Linked DNA regions of Drosophila melanogaster. The protein of the gene in region 2 interacts with the protein of the main gene of each other region in a pairwise test. Each region holds a gene or a part of one and is shown on either strand. Other genes may lie near its edges.

What was found.
Region 1: the proteins of Git (region 2) and Rme-8 interact in a two-hybrid assay, tested with the Drosophila melanogaster proteins (one large-scale study listed by BioGRID).
Region 3: the proteins of Git (region 2) and CG5180 interact in a two-hybrid assay, tested with the Drosophila melanogaster proteins (one large-scale study listed by BioGRID).
Region 4: the proteins of Git (region 2) and prod interact in a two-hybrid assay, tested with the Drosophila melanogaster proteins (one large-scale study listed by BioGRID).

Annotation. Positions count from the first base shown.
Region 1 is NT_033778.4:9,174,242-9,179,007, reverse strand, and holds the start of Rme-8 (receptor mediated endocytosis 8), read left to right. Parts: upstream 1-1,746; 5' UTR 1,747-1,866; intron 1,867-2,175; 5' UTR 2,176-2,228; coding exon 2,229-2,420; intron 2,421-2,474; coding exon 2,475-2,615; intron 2,616-2,772; coding exon 2,773-2,917; intron 2,918-3,073; coding exon 3,074-3,275; intron 3,276-3,336; coding exon 3,337-3,841; intron 3,842-3,898; coding exon 3,899-4,077; intron 4,078-4,132; coding exon 4,133-4,340; intron 4,341-4,397; coding exon 4,398-4,766. Other genes in the region: Rab32, read left to right, coding at 1-178, 259-402, 464-574.
Region 2 is NT_033778.4:10,641,261-10,647,044, forward strand, and holds Git (G protein-coupled receptor kinase interacting ArfGAP), read right to left. Parts: upstream 4,168-5,784; 5' UTR 4,078-4,167; intron 3,895-4,077; 5' UTR 3,871-3,894; coding exon 2,995-3,870; intron 2,703-2,994; coding exon 2,546-2,702; intron 2,483-2,545; coding exon 2,397-2,482; intron 2,335-2,396; coding exon 2,050-2,334; intron 1,677-2,049; coding exon 1,486-1,676; intron 1,414-1,485; coding exon 1,017-1,413; intron 955-1,016; coding exon 751-954; 3' UTR 558-750; downstream 1-557. Other genes in the region: Elp2 (elongator complex protein 2), read left to right, coding at 4,589-4,711, 4,763-5,546, 5,602-5,784. UniProt on the Drosophila melanogaster protein: GTPase-activating protein for ADP ribosylation factor family members, including ARF1.
Region 3 is NT_033777.3:20,556,384-20,560,300, reverse strand, and holds CG5180 (uncharacterized protein), read right to left. Parts: upstream 2,372-3,917; 5' UTR 2,250-2,371; intron 2,058-2,249; 5' UTR 1,904-2,057; coding exon 1,710-1,903; intron 1,652-1,709; coding exon 1,105-1,651; intron 1,041-1,104; coding exon 714-1,040; 3' UTR 541-713; downstream 1-540. Other genes in the region: CG15922 (uncharacterized protein), read left to right, coding at 254-403, 465-518.
Region 4 is NT_033778.4:18,968,896-18,972,847, reverse strand, and holds prod (proliferation disrupter), read left to right. Parts: upstream 1-1,714; 5' UTR 1,715-1,839; coding exon 1,840-2,052; intron 2,053-2,119; coding exon 2,120-2,714; intron 2,715-2,780; coding exon 2,781-3,013; 3' UTR 3,014-3,444; downstream 3,445-3,952. Other genes in the region: CG15107 (uncharacterized protein), read left to right, coding at 415-603, 662-1,019, 1,073-1,257.

The DNA.
Region 1 (4,766 bases), 1.5 Mb from region 2:
GGAGAGGTTTGGCAACATGACCCGTGTCTACTACAAGGAGGCGGTGGGCGCGTTCATCGTTTTTGATGTGACTCGCAGTGGGACTTTCGATTGCGTGAGCAAGTGGAAGGAAGATCTAGACTCCAAGGTGCAGCTGCCGGACGGCAGTCCCATTCCGTGCATCCTGCTGGCCAATAAAGTAAGTGATTGCCTAAAGGTTAAAGGAGACCGCATAATTTCTATATTATGTGATTAATACGTTGCTCATCCGTTTTCCAGTGCGACCAGGAAAAGCAGGGCATCATAACGCAGCCCGAGAAGATGGATGAGTATGTGAGGGAGAACGGATTTGCCGGTTGGTTTGAGACATCCGCCAAGGAGAATATCAACATCGATGAGGCAGCTCGTGCCCTCGTGAATAAGGTGATAATCGCTGCTAATGCCCAGCCAAAGCCCCGCTAATCTTCTTCCACTCGCCCGACAGATACTCATCAACGATAAGCTGATATCTGCCGATCTGGCCGATGGCGACAAGTTCAACTTGAGCGCGGCCGATGCAACCGGATCGGATGCCAAGAACAAGTGTTCCTGCTGACCTGGGACCGAGGTCCGGCGACTCCTATTCCCATTCCCAGTTTAAGAGCGAGTTTCAACACAGAAACGCCATGTGCCTACGTCCACTCCATGTTCATGTTGTTAGAAGATAGCGATAACTATGCTTAGGGTTTTAACGTAACATTTGTCTAAGACTTAGTGTCATCCGTATCATCCCGTCCGTCTTTATCTTTAACACCCCGTCTGTGGGTCCACAATGTTGCGCCGGCATCGGGATCCGTGTCACTTTGAGAATTTATATGGTGACACATAACATACCTACGCATACGAAACATTATTACTATCACCATCATTGCCCTAGTTGCGAGGATTAGCCGGAGGTAGTGCAGCATCCGTATCATAGCATACTACATTTGTGTAAAATGCGAATCGTCTTATTGTTTTGTTTGTTTTATTTGCCTCTGCTGGCGAGATTGTTTTATCTTGGAATTATTATTCTCGTATGCAAACACACTCTGCCATCATTATTTGTATTTAGATAACAATACGTACGCTTAATGCAATGCGAAATCAGAAATAAAGTTTTTAATGGTAGTTAAGTTCAGACGACGTGTTTTATTGGCTGAATAAATTCTGTGTAAGTGCTTTTGTGATACAATGAAAATGTTATGCTACTAGTATTTGCCTTCATTGAATCACTGGTCTTTGTAAATAAATACGAATAAAAGCTTTGTTTTTACATTTCCTTTTTTAACGGTAAAAAATCGTATCCCCAACCGGCAATGTTTTTCTTTTTTTTTAATATTCAAACTATCGATAGTTATCAACTATGGTATTCCTTATTGTTTAGTGATCACATATTAAACTTAAAAATAATGATATACAGATAAAAGTGTCGTGCGTTCATATTCTACATAAAATTATTAGCAATTATTTAATCGTTATGAAAAGCGAAACGTATAAACTGGTAATTGGTATGGGAAAAATTGGGAAAAAGCTGGAATCAGGTTTAATTGCAATTTGGTTTTATAAAATGTTTTATGGCACAAACAAACATCCTGACTCAAAAGTGAATTAAGCTTGAAACTTAAATACTCCGAGAATACCGTGAATATGCGTTTACCAATTGCTGCTGAACGGGACCACTATCGATAGAACCTTACAAACTATCGAATCGCTGCAAGACTATTGCCATCGATACTTGCACCTCTATTTATTAGTGTTGTGTAGCCGTGTTACTGCTAAATTGTTTATTGCAAAAATTCCGCAAACGAGAGATATTAGGAATAGAAGACAATATAACAATTGGGCAAAATGTGTTAGATGTTTAAGGTAAGCCACCGCCAGGGCTGCAGCTCGGCGGAGCCGTATCCAACGGTCCGCGCTCTGGGGGCCGCAGCATTCCGCACTCGTCACGTTTACTCCCCTTTTCTGGTCTTTGTTGGGGCTCCGTTGGCACTTCTGCTGATAAGTGCCCAAGTCGACTTAATTAATCAGTGCCCTGGAGTCGGGGGCAAGTCAATTGGATATTTGGAAACCGCTGGGAACGTGAACCAGCTGCGCGCCCGAAAGACCAGTCATGAATTGCCGCGGCTCTGATTTGACTCCCGTTCCCACACTCCATATCTCACTCACTTTCAGTTGCTGACTAATACTGGGTGGAAGGTAATCAGTTGGAATCGTCACAAGAAACGATGCTGCCGCCTAAGGAAAACGTCGATCTGGAGTGCTTCCTGGTGACCAAGCACTCCTGGAAGGGCAGGTATAAGCGCATCCTCTCCATCGGCACGGCCGGCATATCCACCTACAATCCGGACAAGCTTGACCTGACTAACAGGTGGTCCTATTCGGACATCGTAGCAGCAGCACCCTCAAAGACCACAAATGTGAGTTTATAAGATCCTACGGAGAGCTCGGAACTAAATAAATTGATCTTTCAGATACCCCATGACTTCGTGATTACCATCAAAAAGGATAAGAAACTAGATACAATCAAGTTATCGTCGGAATATCGGAACGATATCCTAAGCTCTATATTAAAGTACTACAAAGAGTTTGCGGACAAGCCGAAAAATGCTCAGGTTGGTTTTTGAGTCTCGCTTTAAATCCTATACTAATTTGGAAACACTTCTCCAACATTTCATGTGTGATTCAGATGTTTCTAATTAACATTTAAATATGCAATATGAATTCTAATCTGTCAAAATTTTAATTTTGAATACTATCTAAATTTTGTAGCGCTTTAGTGCTTACAAATACCACTGGTCGGGCATCAGTCTTCCCACAGTACTGGAGGTCACGCCCTGTTCTCTGGACCAGCTCGATCCCACCACCAACGACGTGCTGGCCAGCTATATGTACAAGGATATCGAGGGAATAATAGGTAGCTATGCACATTCGACTCGCTTGCATCAATTAATGTGTCTTGTTTTGTCCTCATGTGCCTCAATTACAATTCAATATGATCGCTCCGTGTTTTGTTCTTTTTTTTATTTTTGGTTACTTGCCGCACTCATCTTTCTTCCGCACACGTTTTAAGCAGGCATCTCGGACTATGAGGGAGGAATCGTGATGGCCTACGGCGGATTCAGTCGCCTCCATTTGTTTAAGGCGCTGAATCACCACGAAATCGTGCAGAACATAGCACAGAGATCGGCTCAGTTTCTGGGCATCGAAACCAAAATACTCAAGAGTCAGATCACTCTGGAGCAGTTCGAGAGGCAGCGGTTCGGCAAGTTTAGGTAAGTTCATGTGAAACGCAATAAAGAATTTGTAGAAAAAAAAAGCCATATAATATTTCAGTGGTGACCAGTTTCAAACCTCGTCGACCGAATTCTCGGTTCATAAGATAACGCCCCGCCATCCGGATCCGGTGAAGCGTATACTCTGCCTCACCGAGGTAACGCTGCTGGAGCGGGATCCTCAAACCTACAGCGTCTGCACCCTGCGTCCGCTCACTGATGTGTTTGCCTTAGTTAGAGACAAGGACAATCTTCAGCGCTTCAGCATCGAGTACAAGAATGGAATCGTGCGCAACTACAGCACCAACGACCGCGACTCATTGTTGGCCACTGTTCTGGATGCTGTCCGCTCCAGTGGCAATCAGGATGTGCACGTCCGCATTGGCAACACGCCGCGAGGGAAACGGTATGTGCCATTGAACAGCTCGGTGGACGAGGAGACGGAGGCGAATTTGATGCGCCTGGTTATCAACAATTTTCAAAACCCCTCTAAGCGGTATGAGATCTTGGAGCGCTTTAATGCCAATGTGCCTCACAGTGGCCTCAACTACAGTGTAACTCAGGATGTAGGTTAACCTAATGCTCGGATTCCGGTTCAACCTAACTAATGTTTCGTTTCACAGAGCTTGTTTGCTGAAAACAAAGATAAACTTATCCTGAGTGCCCTGCAAGCGTTGGCTCAAAAGGAGCTGGACAGCCCTACGGCCCAGCTGAGCAACTTGGAGCTGGAGGCTATCTTTCACGCTCTTACTCGTCTTCTCGCTAGCAAAGTTGGATACGCAGCCTTTACGAATCTCCCGGGGTAATATATTCTAGTTTCGTACTAATAGCATTGTTAATGTTTGAATACATTTCAGCTTTCGTGAGATTATCGGTACAAAGGTGGTGGCTGCTTTAAGACGCAAGGATTTGGCTGTGACATACTCCGCCATTGACATGATTAACTCGCTAATGCATTCTGTGAATTCTGACCATGATTTAAAACAGGAGCAACTTAACAAGTCATCCATTCTGTCATCAAAATCGTTTCTGGAAACTTTGCTCAACATGTGGACAACCCATGTGGTAATGTAACCATTCTAGAGTGCGGTCAATTCGTTTTGTAACTATTTATGATTTCAGAGCCATGGCAGTGGTGCTCTGGTACTCTCAGCCATGCTGGACTTCATGACCTTTGCCTTGTGTGTGCCTTACAGCGAGACCACTGACGGCAAGCAGTTCGATACTCTGCTGGAGCTGGTTGCCGATCGTGGACGCTATTTGTACAAACTGTTCCAGCATCCCTCGCTGGCGATCGTGAAGGGAGCTGGATTGGTGCTGCGGGCCATTATTGAAGAAGGCGAGCTGCAAGTGGCTCAGCAAATGCAAGCATTGGCTTTGGATGAGGCTGCGCTGTGCCGCCACTTACTGGTGGCACTGTATACGCCCTCCAATGATCCCACACAGACCACGCAACGTCAGTTGTCGCGGCATTTGATCGGGCTGTGGCTA
Region 2 (5,784 bases):
ATGCACCTAGATTTTGAATGTCAAAATGGGATGTGTATATTTTTATGGACACTTTTGGTGCGCTTCGAACATGGCAGAGCATATTATTTTTTAGAGACCGCGAGCACAGTCGTGCAACACTCATGGATAAATGCTTTAATCTTAAATAGTTCCTTGAACTTGCACACCACAACCACCACGAGTGTATTTTTGTCCATAGGCGAGCAATCCGACCACCAGCCGGAGGTCAGAAAAACAGCCAGAGCAAAGGCAGCAGCTACCCACTCAATTACACAAAGTTAAACAATAAGTAGAGGAAGCCACTTATACATATGTACTCCATGCTTAACTGATTGTCCATGCTTAGAACGTACAGTTAACTAAAGTGAACAATATACAGGCTCAAAATGCACCTGATTATTAAAATTATAAAGGACCCATAAATATATATATATATACACAGATATCGTAAATCTTTCCACCTCCTTTGTCTCCCCCCCTTTGAATTTGAGGGCCAATCCTTCAACACTTTTAAACTATTTTGCAATGGGTCATTAGCCCGTAGAAGAACGCATTTTGTGTATATTGAACGAAGTACATTGATTTATGTAAACATTTATTAAATACATAAACTATATGTAAAGGGGATTCTTTAAATTATTTGGCGGAAGCACTTTTGTTAGTCAGCAGGGCACTAAAGTGGTCGGTTAATACTTCAAAAAAGAGTGAGTGAGTTTAAACTTCTATGTCGATGATTGTGTTTTGGGCGTCTCAATAGAACTGCAACACCAAAGTCTTTATGGCACTGGCAATGTGGAAGGCGCAGTCGCGCACCTCCAAGGTGTTCTTCTGTATGGCCTGCTTGTCATCCGCCTCGATGGCTTTCTGCAGATTCTCGCACTCGTGCTGGATGAGAATGTTCTGGCGGGTTAGCAGTTTAAGGGTTTCGCGAGACGGGTCACTGGCATTCGGTGGCTAAAATATATGTTTATGATTATGAAACATCCTTATAAAGGAAGCCCCTATGTTCATCTTACCAAATTGGCATAAAGGGCAATTAAATCAGTCACGGCACTTCGTATAAGCTCTCCATGTGGAGCAATCGACTGCTTTTGATCCTCTGGCACTGGCTGCATAGCTCTTATGAGCTCCTTAAGACGGCGTGTGACCAAGTCAGAGCGCACTTTGACCTCCTCACCAAAAGGTTTGCCATCCCCAGCCATTTGGTACATGCTGGTCGTATTTCGTATGTCCGTATTGCCCTTGGCCACATTGGGTACCAAACGACGCTCGTACATGCTGGCTGGACGCTTGATGGTCGATTGATTTGACGAATCATTGGAGGAGCCGCTTTCCCCATTGGCAGTCCCACCTTCGGGTAGCGACAGAGGCTCGTGCTCTGTATCCGGACTGCTCAAGCTCAGATCAATGCGACTATGCAAAGGAAAATTTAAAACAAATCATAAAAATAAAGCTAGCCAAATAAATTCAAATGAAAAATCTCACAGTGGCTCATCGTACACGCTGTTGTTCGATGCGCTCGAGAACTTGGACTTGAGCTGCGTGTTCTCGCTGGACAGCATCTGCACCACGTTCTTTAGCTGATTGATCTCCGATTTGTAATCGTTCAGCTGTTTGCGCAGCGTTTCCATTTCGTTGTGCGAATTCGCGCTGCGCGGTGGCGTATGCACAATGGCCTAAGTAAAATAAAAAGCATAAAAACAAGGAAAATAAATCAATATAAATCAAGTACAACTAATAATTACAAAATCTTTAAAAATAAATATTGCATAAAAACAAAAGGCAAGGCAGACAAATCACGGTACCAACTACTACTTATTTAAACTACATTTTCACAAGTATCAGCTAGTTTTATTGAGGCTTATGTTCTACATTTGGACTTCTACCTTTGAAAATGGATTAGGTTGCCTAAAATCAGGGAGCTATAGTGCCCTGGCCTACGGATGAACACAATGGGTACAGCACGGGTTGTCTAAATGTCAGTCTTCGCTTACGCTTCTAGCCAAAGCTATTGTTCAGCTTGAGTATCTTTTGCCGCATTAGGTTTACCTGCTGGGCCATTGGTGGCACTGGGGCATAGTCGTCATCGCTGGCCACCGGATCATAAATGGGCTCGTCGTCCGACAGATTCGGATCATGACCGCCCTGCTCGAACGAGCCGAGCAGCATTGAGTTGTTGGCATACGGCAGCGATTGCAGCGACTGGTGCCCGGCCACTGGGGCATCCATTGGACGCAGGTTGGCCATATTCTGGCGTCGCATAGCATCGACGAGCACGTCGGTCAAGAGACCAGTGAACTCGGCGCGATTGAAGCGTGCCAATTTCTGACGACCCTGTAGGCGAGACCATGTCAATGAATGAAGGTTCGAATCATTAATGTACGGCGAGGTCAAACCTGATTGCGCGTGGCGCTCAAAAATGGATTAGCCGGCAAAAATGGCACAGTTGCATGATCAGCATTCAGGGTGCTTGTCGACCAGACTATTTCGTTAAGAAAAATAAGATTAGCTTTGTTTGTAGTCTATGTTTAGCAGTCATACTCACTGGCTTCGCACTCGCGTCTGTCCACCTCATCGTATAGGTCCATGACCAGCTCCTCAAACATCTTATTTGGCACGAGTTGCAACTTTCCACGTGCAATCTTCAGTTGCTCGCTTATGTCCGCGCCATTGGCATCCGGAATAATCATGTGGCGGCCACTCTACGTATGGAAATAGTATTTAAATAGAACGGAATAAGGAAATGGGTAGGAAAGGTCGAGTCAACTGTGCATTTGCTCATGGAAATATGAATCCATTAAATAAATATAGTTCTGTGACTAACAAAAATTTAAATAGATAGTTATAAACTTTAGACTGAAGACAACTTAAGGAGTTACAAGGATATAGCTTAATTGGCTTAATACATATATGATTAATCAATGGATAAGGTTAAATGGTTTGTCCAATTAAAGTATAATTTCACTCTGCAGGTAATTAAAGATCTAAACTCACCGCATGATCTGGCTTCTTGCCACCTAGGAAGGTAATGATCCTGTCGGTGACATCGTACATGGCATCAAGCAGTCTTTCGGCGATGGTGTTATGATTGTTGGCCCTGGCCAGTTCCAGAGGAGTCATCCCATTGCCATCCAAGGCATTCACATCGGCTCCATAGATGAGCAGCATCTCGATTTGTGATGCCTGGCCAAACTTGGCGGCCATGTGAAGTGGCGTTGATAGCTTGTCCTCGTGGTAGTAATTTGGGTCTGCACCCTGGACCAAGAAGCGCAGTGAAGTCTCTAGATTGCTGGTCCGCACGCTGGCATGGAGCTGTCTACTCAGCTCCTGTTCCAGACAGCCCGCTGAGCCATTGCCATCATCGTCATCCTGGAGACTGGGTTTTAGCACGAACGTTAGATTCACATGCTTGGCCTTAATAAAATCGGATTTGGTGGGATGGAGTGCATCCTTGGGCGTGGGTTTCCGCCAGCGTGGCACGTGCTTTCCGCCGGTGGAGTTGGTGCTGCCATCCAGCAGATGATGCTCCCAAACACTATTGGCTCCATGGGCGTTTAGAGAGTTCACAAAGTTCAGAACCGAGGGCTCCCAGTTACCCTGGCGTAGAGACTTCACAATGGAGATGTGCCTGCCCAGACTGCGGTGCACCGAACAGCAGTCGGCGCAGAGAAGGATGCCCCGGTTGATGCTCGCCCAGGATGGATCACCAGCTCCGCAATCGCCACAAACTTCGGTTTGCAGGCGGGATTTCCCCCTCGGCATTTTGGATCTGGTCGAAATCGTGGGTGTGGCTGGATCGGAATGATCCAAATCCGGCGGCGCTATAAATAACTTCCTGTGCGCTTCGATTATACTGCTGGCGAAACACATTCAGCATTCCAAGACGCTCACAAGCTGCAGGGGAGATACGAAAAATAGAATACCGAAGTTGAAAAAAAACTCGGACAATCTCAAGTGACTTCGTTGTGAGTCAGTTGCAAGCTGTTGGCTTTCTGATTGGAAATCCGAAACGCTGGCGGTGAAAGGTCAAATATCAGCAACTGGGGCTCACCCCTGGCCATCAATTAGGAAAATTACTTTTAATTAAACGCGGGGAGCAGCAGAAGAAAACATTTGCGGACGCCTTTTCCGAGTTTGTTTTAGTTATTTTGCGCACCAGTGTGACCAAACAGTAGCAGTGGAAAAGCGCTAGATTTGAAGTGAAAAGGCTGACGAATGTAGCAGCTGTGTTTGTGCCTTTTCAAATTTTAAAATCCATCATATACCCAGTATTACAGAAGTTGCAATATTTATTCGGTCAAAATTTTGCAATGGTCTGCAATACCGAAAAATCAAAAACCAAACAGGTGTAACTTTCGTAACTAGCCCTGCCAGACTTTTCAATATTGTCGGCTGGCCTCACTATTCCAGCTTCTTCACAACATATAGTTGTCTCACTTGCACTCCCTTAGAAATCATATGTTTATGAACAGATGAGACAGTTTTAGAAGCACTGCATTATTTGAAGCACATGTGCCAAAACAAAACAATTTCGCCGACATTCAATTCGAATTTAGTTGTCATTAAAAAATAGAAGTGCAACATTAGCATGCAAGTGGAGAATCTGCATACTTCAGTGGCCTGCAACCGCTGCACGGAATGCGCGGATTGGGGTCCAAATGGTTGGATTGCCTATGGGGCATGTAACGCCATAGCCATTATGGATCCAAAGGTAGGAAATTTTGCCTTTACTGGAAACATAGTATATTTAACCAATTTTTAGTTTCAAGGCAACTCAGCCAAGGTCCTGTTCACGCTGGTGGAGCACACAAAGCGAGTAAACACTGTGAGGTGGTTGGATTGCGACAAACTTCTTTCCGGCGGAGATGATGCAATTGCTATTCTCTGGGAACTGGATGAAACGGGAACGACTAAGAGCTTCACTCTCAAAGGACACACAAGTGGCGTAAATACTGTGGATGGAATTCGCCAACAGGATGGCTCCTGGCTTTTGGCGACCGCAGCAGCAGATACCACCATCAAGTTGTGGACTTTCCAGGATAATAATTATGTGTGCTTTCAAACCATATCTTTATCCGACGGATTCTGCTTCTGTCTTCGACTGCAGCTGCTGCCCAAGAGCAACCAGGTTCTGCTCGCCTTCAGTGGCGATGACGAGACTGTTTCCCTGTGGTCGGAACAGGTAGAAACCGCAGGTGAAGGAGATTCACTAGGTCGGCAGTTCCAACGCAAACACAAGCTCACTGGCCACGAAGACTGGGTTCGAGGTCTGGATTTCGTTGTCGATGGCGAGGATTTGCTGCTGGCCAGTGGCTCTCAGGATAACTTTATTCGTCTCTGGCGGATTGCGCCGCGCAGCAAAGAGCAAATGCAAGAGAATCGGGTTGATCTGCATCAATTGAGCCACAACGACGATGAGATAAAGGTGGAGGAGAAGATACTACAACTGGGGAAAGAAGCCTGGTATGCAGTGAGCTTGGAATCGGTTCTATATGGACATGAGGGATGGATTTATGGGGTCCACTGGCACAAAACACCCGATCAAGGTAAAGCACAGCAATTGAACTCCCCAAAGACCTTTCAAAAACGTTATCCATTTAGAGCTCCGCCTTCTATCCGCTTCTATTGACAAGACCGTCATAATTTGGGCACCTACGGAAGAAGGCATTTGGTTGGAAGAAGTTCGCGTGGGTGAAGTGGGTGGAAACTCCGTGGGCTTCTATGGTGGAAAGTTCTCCGGCGATGGACACTCGATCATGGCCCACAGCTACCAAGGTGGCTTTC
Region 3 (3,917 bases), on a different chromosome or scaffold from region 2:
GCAATCGAAGTCCCAGACAAAGAATTGCGAGACGTTTAGTTTCCCATTATTATCCCCGAAAACGTTGGACTTTGGACCAAGTTGGGGGAGATAGAAACTTTATTCAAAACTAGCCGCCCGTTTTGGGGCAGCGTTATAGGTTGGTATTTTTCGTTGATAAGATTAAACAAACATCGCAATGCGGTCACATCGTCATTGTTGATTTGTGATAGCTGTTAAATAATAATAATTCCGTTTTACGAATTTTGTAAAGATGAGCAAGCAGCCCTCGTTCGTGTCGCGCAACCTGGTGGCCGTCGTGATGATCCCCAGTCTGGTGGGGATCCATCTGGGCTGGAGCTACATGCAGAGCAACCGAAAACTGGTCACGGAGGCGGAACAGATCGAGATGCCGCCGGTCACGGTATGTTAGTCCTAATTCTTAAGGCGATCACCTCAAGACAGCAGCTCCTCTTTTTGTCCAGTTTGCCAGGTTTGTGTGGAACAAGCTAACGGGCGCAGGAAGTTCGACGGAATGACAAACCCTCTGGTGATGAGCTTAAGACATACAATCTATTTATTGTATAGAATAATTAAAACTACATGCAAACTGTATGGTACAATCGGCTGCTGCCCGGGCGACACATGTTGGCCGGGCTGCAGGTTGGGACACAGACAAAATGGAGATATAAAGCCAGAGACTACACATACTTAGTCTAGGGGGACAAGAGAGATTACTGCGTGAGGGCCGAGTGAACGGTGAGGTTGCCCAGCTGTGCGTTGAATAGAACGTCGCTGATCAGTTTCTCGGCCACGATCCGCTGCGTCGGGTTGATGGAGCGCAGTTTGCTCGCCACATTCACGCCAATGGCATCGTACTCGTCGTCTTGCCGGTGCGATGTGCTCGTAGCCGCTGTGGTGGTATAGGCAGTGGTGCCGGCATTGCCAAACAATGGCTGATAGTGATCGCGGCCTATCTGGATGGTGGGAACGCCCTGATGTTGGCCATTCGTCTGCTGCAGGTGGAGCTGCTGCTGGTGGTGCTCCAGATGATTGACCGCCTGCGTGGGGAGAGGAGGTGATTGAAGACCCTAAGGAACTCTTCACTGCTTTGGAGCTACTCACTTGTTGTATCTCGCGCTGGGAGTTGGAGTCTAGGGAGGTGATCTCTAAGACCTTCACGGCATGTCCCTGAGCCGCCGCCGCCGCAATGGAGGTCTGGGCTGCTGCATGGGCTACCATTTGCTGGTGTGCTTGGGCTGCGGCTGCCGCTGCTTCGGCCGCCTGGTGCTCCTCGCTCTTGACAAGGGTCACACATTCCGCGGGCGTCACCGAAATGGTGCTCAGAGTGGCGCCCTGACTGCTGACGACCACATTGTTGGCCGTCGCCGCGACTTCTTCCACATCGTCCGGGGACGTGGGTATTATGGACTCCATGTGCTGAGACTGAGTGCCCGTGTGATGTGAGTCGTCCTCGAACTCCATTGACTCCTCGTCGTCGAAGCTGATATGGAGTTCTCTCTTGGGCTTGGAGCCGAGTTCGTGGCGCTTGGGCTTGTGGTCAGCGATGAAAAGCAGCTTGTCGTAGTACCACAAACGCGTTGCGTAGTCGCCTTTGGTACTCGTCTTGCGGAATTCCCGCCGAAAAGCGGACCGCAGTGAGTTAATTTTCCTGTAAAGCGTGAATTGTGTTTACTGAACTGTGGCACATTTGACATGGAAATTCTCACCTTACTACCATCGCCCTGTCCGGATTGGGCTCCACTTCTTTTAGCTTCTCCACCAGGCGATCGTAGGACTTGTTACGGGCTGTGTGATTGCTGTAGTCGTTGTGCTTGGGCTGCCAGAGGCACTCCTCCTCTTGGTACTGCTCGATAAACTCCGTGAGCCAGTGGCGTGAGTACGAACGCAGGTCTAAGTTCATGGTCCCTTTCACTCGCGTTTTATTTGGGGTTTTCTCAATTAACTTCAGCTTAGTATTTTTTGTTTTCGCTGCGTCTCGCGTGAAGTTGGCTGCGCCACAAACGTCGGGGCGTTGCCAACCCAAACAAATCATCGCGGTCGAGATGGTATCGAGCCTGCATTTTTGAATATAAGGAGCAAAAATTTAAATTAGGCAAATAAAGTAAAACAACTTTAGCCCCTTAAATAAAAAGTGATCGACTTTAACGTTAAATATGACAAAGTGCATACAAATTCTCTAAAACTGAATAGCTATGTGATTCATTATCCGTTTCATTACAATTTTAAGCCAGGAAATAATGATTTACCCTTTGTATTGCATTTATGAGTGATACGGCATATCTATTGCAAGTCAAGAATATATTTTGTTTAATAATATATTTTAATGTTTATTTATGTTTAATATTTTGTTTAAACGAACTTGTATGCCAGTGAATAACACAAATATCTGTAGCACTTGTTGAAATTATTTACAACGTTTTGAAAGGGTGCTTTCTTTTACAATTGACATGACGAAACAATGACATAACGGCTCTGGAACAAATTTTATAAACAATTTTTGACAGCAGTCCTCTCTTAATTTGCACCACTGTGCCACAGTTAGAGGGTTGCGGTCTGGGCTTACCTCCAGCGTGGACTCCACCCACGCCGTCTGGCAGCGCAGTCAGCATGGCAACGCCGAGCGCAGTTCTCGATGTTTTTGTCAATTGCTCTTTGGAGCTTCGCAGGCGGAGTCCGAGAATCGCGCGGAAAATGTGCATTAACAAATAGAAAAATCCGAAATAAAGACAAAGAATTAGCTCGCGGTTAAAGAGAATACAGCACCTGTGTTTTTGGAATCGAAAATCAGTGCGAAACGCCTACCACTGCTGTGTGTTGTTGTTATTGTTGCCAAGGCCGAAGGAGCGAAAAGGGAGGCCGAAAAAAAAGAATCTGTGCTAACAAAAACAAAGGTGCGTGTAGGGCCAAACACACATGAAATCGTACATATGTACGCATATGTATACGTGTGTGTGTTCAAAATAATTTGTTGTTCTCGTTTTGCCCAATTATATAAGGTGTCCGTGTGTGAGTGGTCTTTTTGGGATGTTGCAAGCGTTTAATCGGTGTAAACAAGAGCGAATAAATGGATTGCCAAACAGTTGGTGCACAGTGGCCTTTATCGCAAAGTACTTAAATTTAAGAGAAACAAACAACAACACTTACAAGCAACAGCTGTTTTTCATTCCCCTAGGCGCACTCAGTCCAATCAGAATTAAGTCACGTATGATTCTTATAAATCAAATCCAGTTTTGTAAACAACAAACAAAAGTATTCCGAATTATTGTTCAAGGAAATAAATTGGCTAGAAAATCGCGCATGTGAAAGTGCACTTTCCGAGTAATTTGCATAAATTTCCATTGCCCCATTTGGTTTTTGTTATTTTCCTCCAAGGGGGTACAAAGTCCAGTTGGAATGATGTTGTAGCTGCTTTACTATCTACATCCCGCATCGACCCCCCCCCCCCCTCCAACGGGCTATTTATAGCAAACAAATTTCATAGCCAGAAGCAAAGTGGAAAACACTTGCTGGATAAACTGGATCCGTAGTAAGCCACAACCTTGACTGAGTGCAATAGCAGAGAAAAAAGTGCACAAACACCGCCTAACGAGCTTGTTTACGTTTATCAAGCGCCGGCAACAACAGCATCCCAGTGCACAGTGGTCGAAAAGTGTCGTTCATCGCTCGAATTCCTTATCAAAAAATTTGTTTATGGAGGGGGCACATATCAAGAGGCTGTGCTAAAATCACACTTAAGCCGCAAGCAAAGGCGCGGAATATTTGCTAAACTACTTTTGGCCCAACTTTTCAAGATAGAAGAGCTGAAATCGCTAGGTACAGTGATTACTTGTACCAGAAGGTTGCATTTGAAACGTATCAGCCTATAAAATCAATATAATTTAGTTAATTTCCTTAATCTTAGTAGTTGCTTAGTA
Region 4 (3,952 bases), 8.3 Mb from region 2:
GTCAGCGGTTCTACTAGCTGTTCTACCCTCTGATTGAACTTGATTGAAAAAGCAGGACTAGCTTTGTTACAAAAATTACGAAATACACAAAAAATGCTTAAAGAACTAGACCAATTTATTTTATAAATTGAAATGTGATATTTTGAGAAAAATAAATATTTTTAGATGTATTACACAATCTTGTGAGATTGTGGCGCGGGTAAATTACAAATTCCAAGAAACTTCTTTTCGAACCTAGGAGAACCAAACAATTATTTTGATATTTTCTAAAATAGTTTGGTATTTCGGTTTTGGTATTTAATTTCGGAGCCTTAATTGTTTGTGTTATCGATAGCTCGTTGCTTTATTGCCTTTTTGTGGCGTCTGTTTCAATTTGTTTGTTTTCAATTGTTGGTCATAATTTGGATCCCCAAAATGAATCGACGCAACAAGCGGACGTCGTACTACCAATACGAAGTATACCTAGACTTCATGGAGGAGAATCCCCCGATGTCGGCCAACAAACTGAGTCGCACCCAGGACGGCAAGAAGTGGAAGGAGCTCAGCGATCTGCTAAACAAGTGCTCCACGGGTCCCACTTTGTCGCCCGAGGAATGGCGAAAGGTATGTTGTAACCAGTTGGGTATCGAGTGTACAAGCCCACAGTGTGTCATGCTTATAGCGCCTCAACGACTGGAAGAACAGCACGCGCTCCAAATACCGACGCAGCATCAACTCGGATGACAAGAGCAATGCAATGACTCCTCTGGAGAACAGAGCCCTGCAGATCTTCTCCTTAGAACCGAATTTTCGCGAGGGAATTTCGATGCGCCTGCACGAACTGATGGAGGAGCAAGAGGAACTGGATGAAGAAGAGAATGAGAACCTGGAGGAGTTGGTGGATGAGGAGGAGGAGGAGGAGGTGCAGTACCAGCAGTTCATAGCAGAGCCTCACGAGCAAGCCAACCCAACGATCATCAATGGTCACAGTGCCGCGAAAAAGCTAAGGCTCGATGGTTCCAGTGAGATTATCTACGAAGGTGGGTAGACGCAAATCTAATGTAAATACTAAATATCCTATAAAGGGACATAGCCTTGATTTCAGTCGCGGATGTCACATCTGATCAATCTGCCGCGAAAGAACCGTCTGCCTTCTATGGAGAGAAAATCCAGGAGCAGCTGAAACGCATTTCGGACATACACGAGGCATCGCTGCACTTTAAGATAGCCCGCTTCAAGTACAATAATCCCGGATTCGAGTACGTTCCGGAATTATAGCCCATGCTAGCCATGCACATTGATATAATGTATAATGTAATATAATATGTGAGCTCAGAGGGACCTGCTGATTTCGCCTCGAATTAAAAGCCGCGGAACGCTCAATAAGTAGTACAGTAGGCATTCGTTGAAAACAAATTCTTGAGTAGTGTGTACCATATACCAATTAGTCGTTTTTAAGACTGTTGTTATGCATATCGTTCGACGAAATACTTTTTGCACATATATTTTGAAATGTATTATTGATTTATATGAAACCGCTAATAAATATTGTGACAAATCATTTCTGAATCCGCATGTTTTTATTGCAACAAAATTGAATTATTTATTGCACATCTAGCCATAACTATCGCATGGCATCTAATTGCTTTTTTGGCTTCCCGCCAGATGCGCACCACTGGCGTGCCGAATGCAACCCTGCGCCAACAGCAACAAAATGCAACTAGAAAATCCCAAACGCTAAATGCGTAAATTGTTTGTGAACATCTCGCATCGCTTGGTGGCGTCGATTTGCATTTTAGGGCTTTTGCCAGCTATTTAAACACGGCATCGAGCACGCAGGCACAGAGCAAGGATACCCGGATGAACGGCAAGATGGACCGCCGCAAGAAACGCACCTCATCGGAGCAGTACCAAATGTACATCGACATGATGGAGAGCGACCCCATTTTCGCCACCGGACGAGTGCCGCGCGACTATGACCTGAACTACTTGACCAAAAAGTGGAAGGAGCTCTCCGACCGGCTAAACAAGTGCAGCTCCGGACCCACACTGACGCCGGAGGAGTGGCGCAAGGTACGAGTACCACTACATCACCCAAATAATGTTACCTCTAATCGCGAATTTCCTGCTCCACATACAGCGCCTAAACGATTGGAAGAACACCACTCGCTGCAAGTACAGACGCAGCCTTCTGTCCACGGAAAAGGACATCTCGATGACCTCCGTGGAGACGCGCGCTCTCGATCTCTTTGGCAAGGTGCCCACCACCGGCGGCGAAACGATGCTCAATCTGAAGTCCGAAAAGGATGAGCACGACGACGAGATGGAGGAACTGGGCCAGCGTACTTCGGTGGCATTTCAAAAGGAACTTCAGGCAGCCGTTGAAGAGGCAATCAACGATGAGGTGGACGAGGAGGAGATGGTGGAGGAGCATGTCGATCACGAGGACATGATGGAGGAGAATCTGGCGGAGACCGGCATCACCGCGTCCACAACGGCGGTCAATACGGGTGGCGGCACCTATCGCACCATCGTCGTGGACAACACATCCTTCGAGCATGTCGAGGAGGATCCCCAAACGGTGCAGCCGCACGCCGTCGAGTACGTCACATCCCGCAGGCCTGCTGCCCCCGTCATCAATCCGGGCACAGCCTCCTCCGGCAATAAGCTGATCAACGGCGAGCTGCCCGTCAAGCGGATGCGCACACAGCCCAGGGAGCAAATTATCTACGAAGGTAACTATGCCGTTTTACTTTGCTTAAGTTTAAGCAGTTAACATCACGTTTTTCCATATCTTTCAGTTAAAAATGCGCCGCGTTGCATTTCAAACATGCAGGCCGTGCCGCCGCTGCACAGTACAAAGCTGGAGCGGGAACCCAGTTCGCTGACAAGCGCGCTGAGCAGCAGCGATGCCCAGCAGATCGCGCACCAGCTGAAGCGACTGGCCGACATCAAATTCGAGACACTGCAATTTGAGATTGCGCGCTTCAAGTTCAACAACCCGGGCTTCCAGTACGATCCGCCGTCCTTATAGTGTCCCAAGCGGCAGGGCGAGATCAGTGGGTCTAAGCAGTCGGCAAAAACTCCAGCACCAGCAGAAGCCACGGCGAAAGGATCAGCATTAGCAAAAGCAATGGAACGAGTCAAGTCAGCTCGAATTGTATAGGTCTTTTACGAATGTGCTCTTTGGCACTCGAACGTTTTCTAGCTCTCCAAGTCCTGCGCTCCGCCGGAACACACACAAAACTGTAACTTATAGTAGCCAGATTTAAATTGACTAGTTTAAAATTGACATAGAATTCTATTGTGTAAACAGTTATTTTCAACTTTTCAAGCACTTCATCTACGATATCCATATATATGAAATAGGCATAAAATTGTAATATCTAAAGTGAAAAACAATTGGACAAGTAATTTTAACGCGTTGTATGTAAATGTTAAGAATAAAGTTTACCAATGATAAATATGCGCCGCACAGACGTGCTCCACCTTTTGCCTGTTGTTGCATTTTTAGAGTTTATTTATGACGCCGTGGCCAGAATCGAAGCCAACACGAAAAGTCCATTAATCAAAGCTAGGGAGATGGCGTCGACAACGCGTATATGCATTGTGGCTCGGCTTCGCTTTGGCTTTTAGTTTGGGTCATTTTAACCTGACCGCCAACTAGTGGGCGCACTTTGTAACTGTCAGCAGCGCCTGGAGGCATCGATGCGAAAGAAATCACTTGTGGCTGTTATGGTCGCCCGATGCTGATGCAACAAGTGCCGATCCAAAGTCCTCGGCTGCTCCCTGCTCCACCTACTCCGCTTGGATAACTGCAATGGGCAATAGATCATTTGCGGGCCGTGCGCTGCGAATCATAAATTACCGAAGACCAAGGTGGAGCGTTTGAGGGAACAGACCTCCGCCATGGGACGACGCACGGTGTTCCGTTAGGAATCGTTGGCATCGCGTTGATAACTGCACAACACGT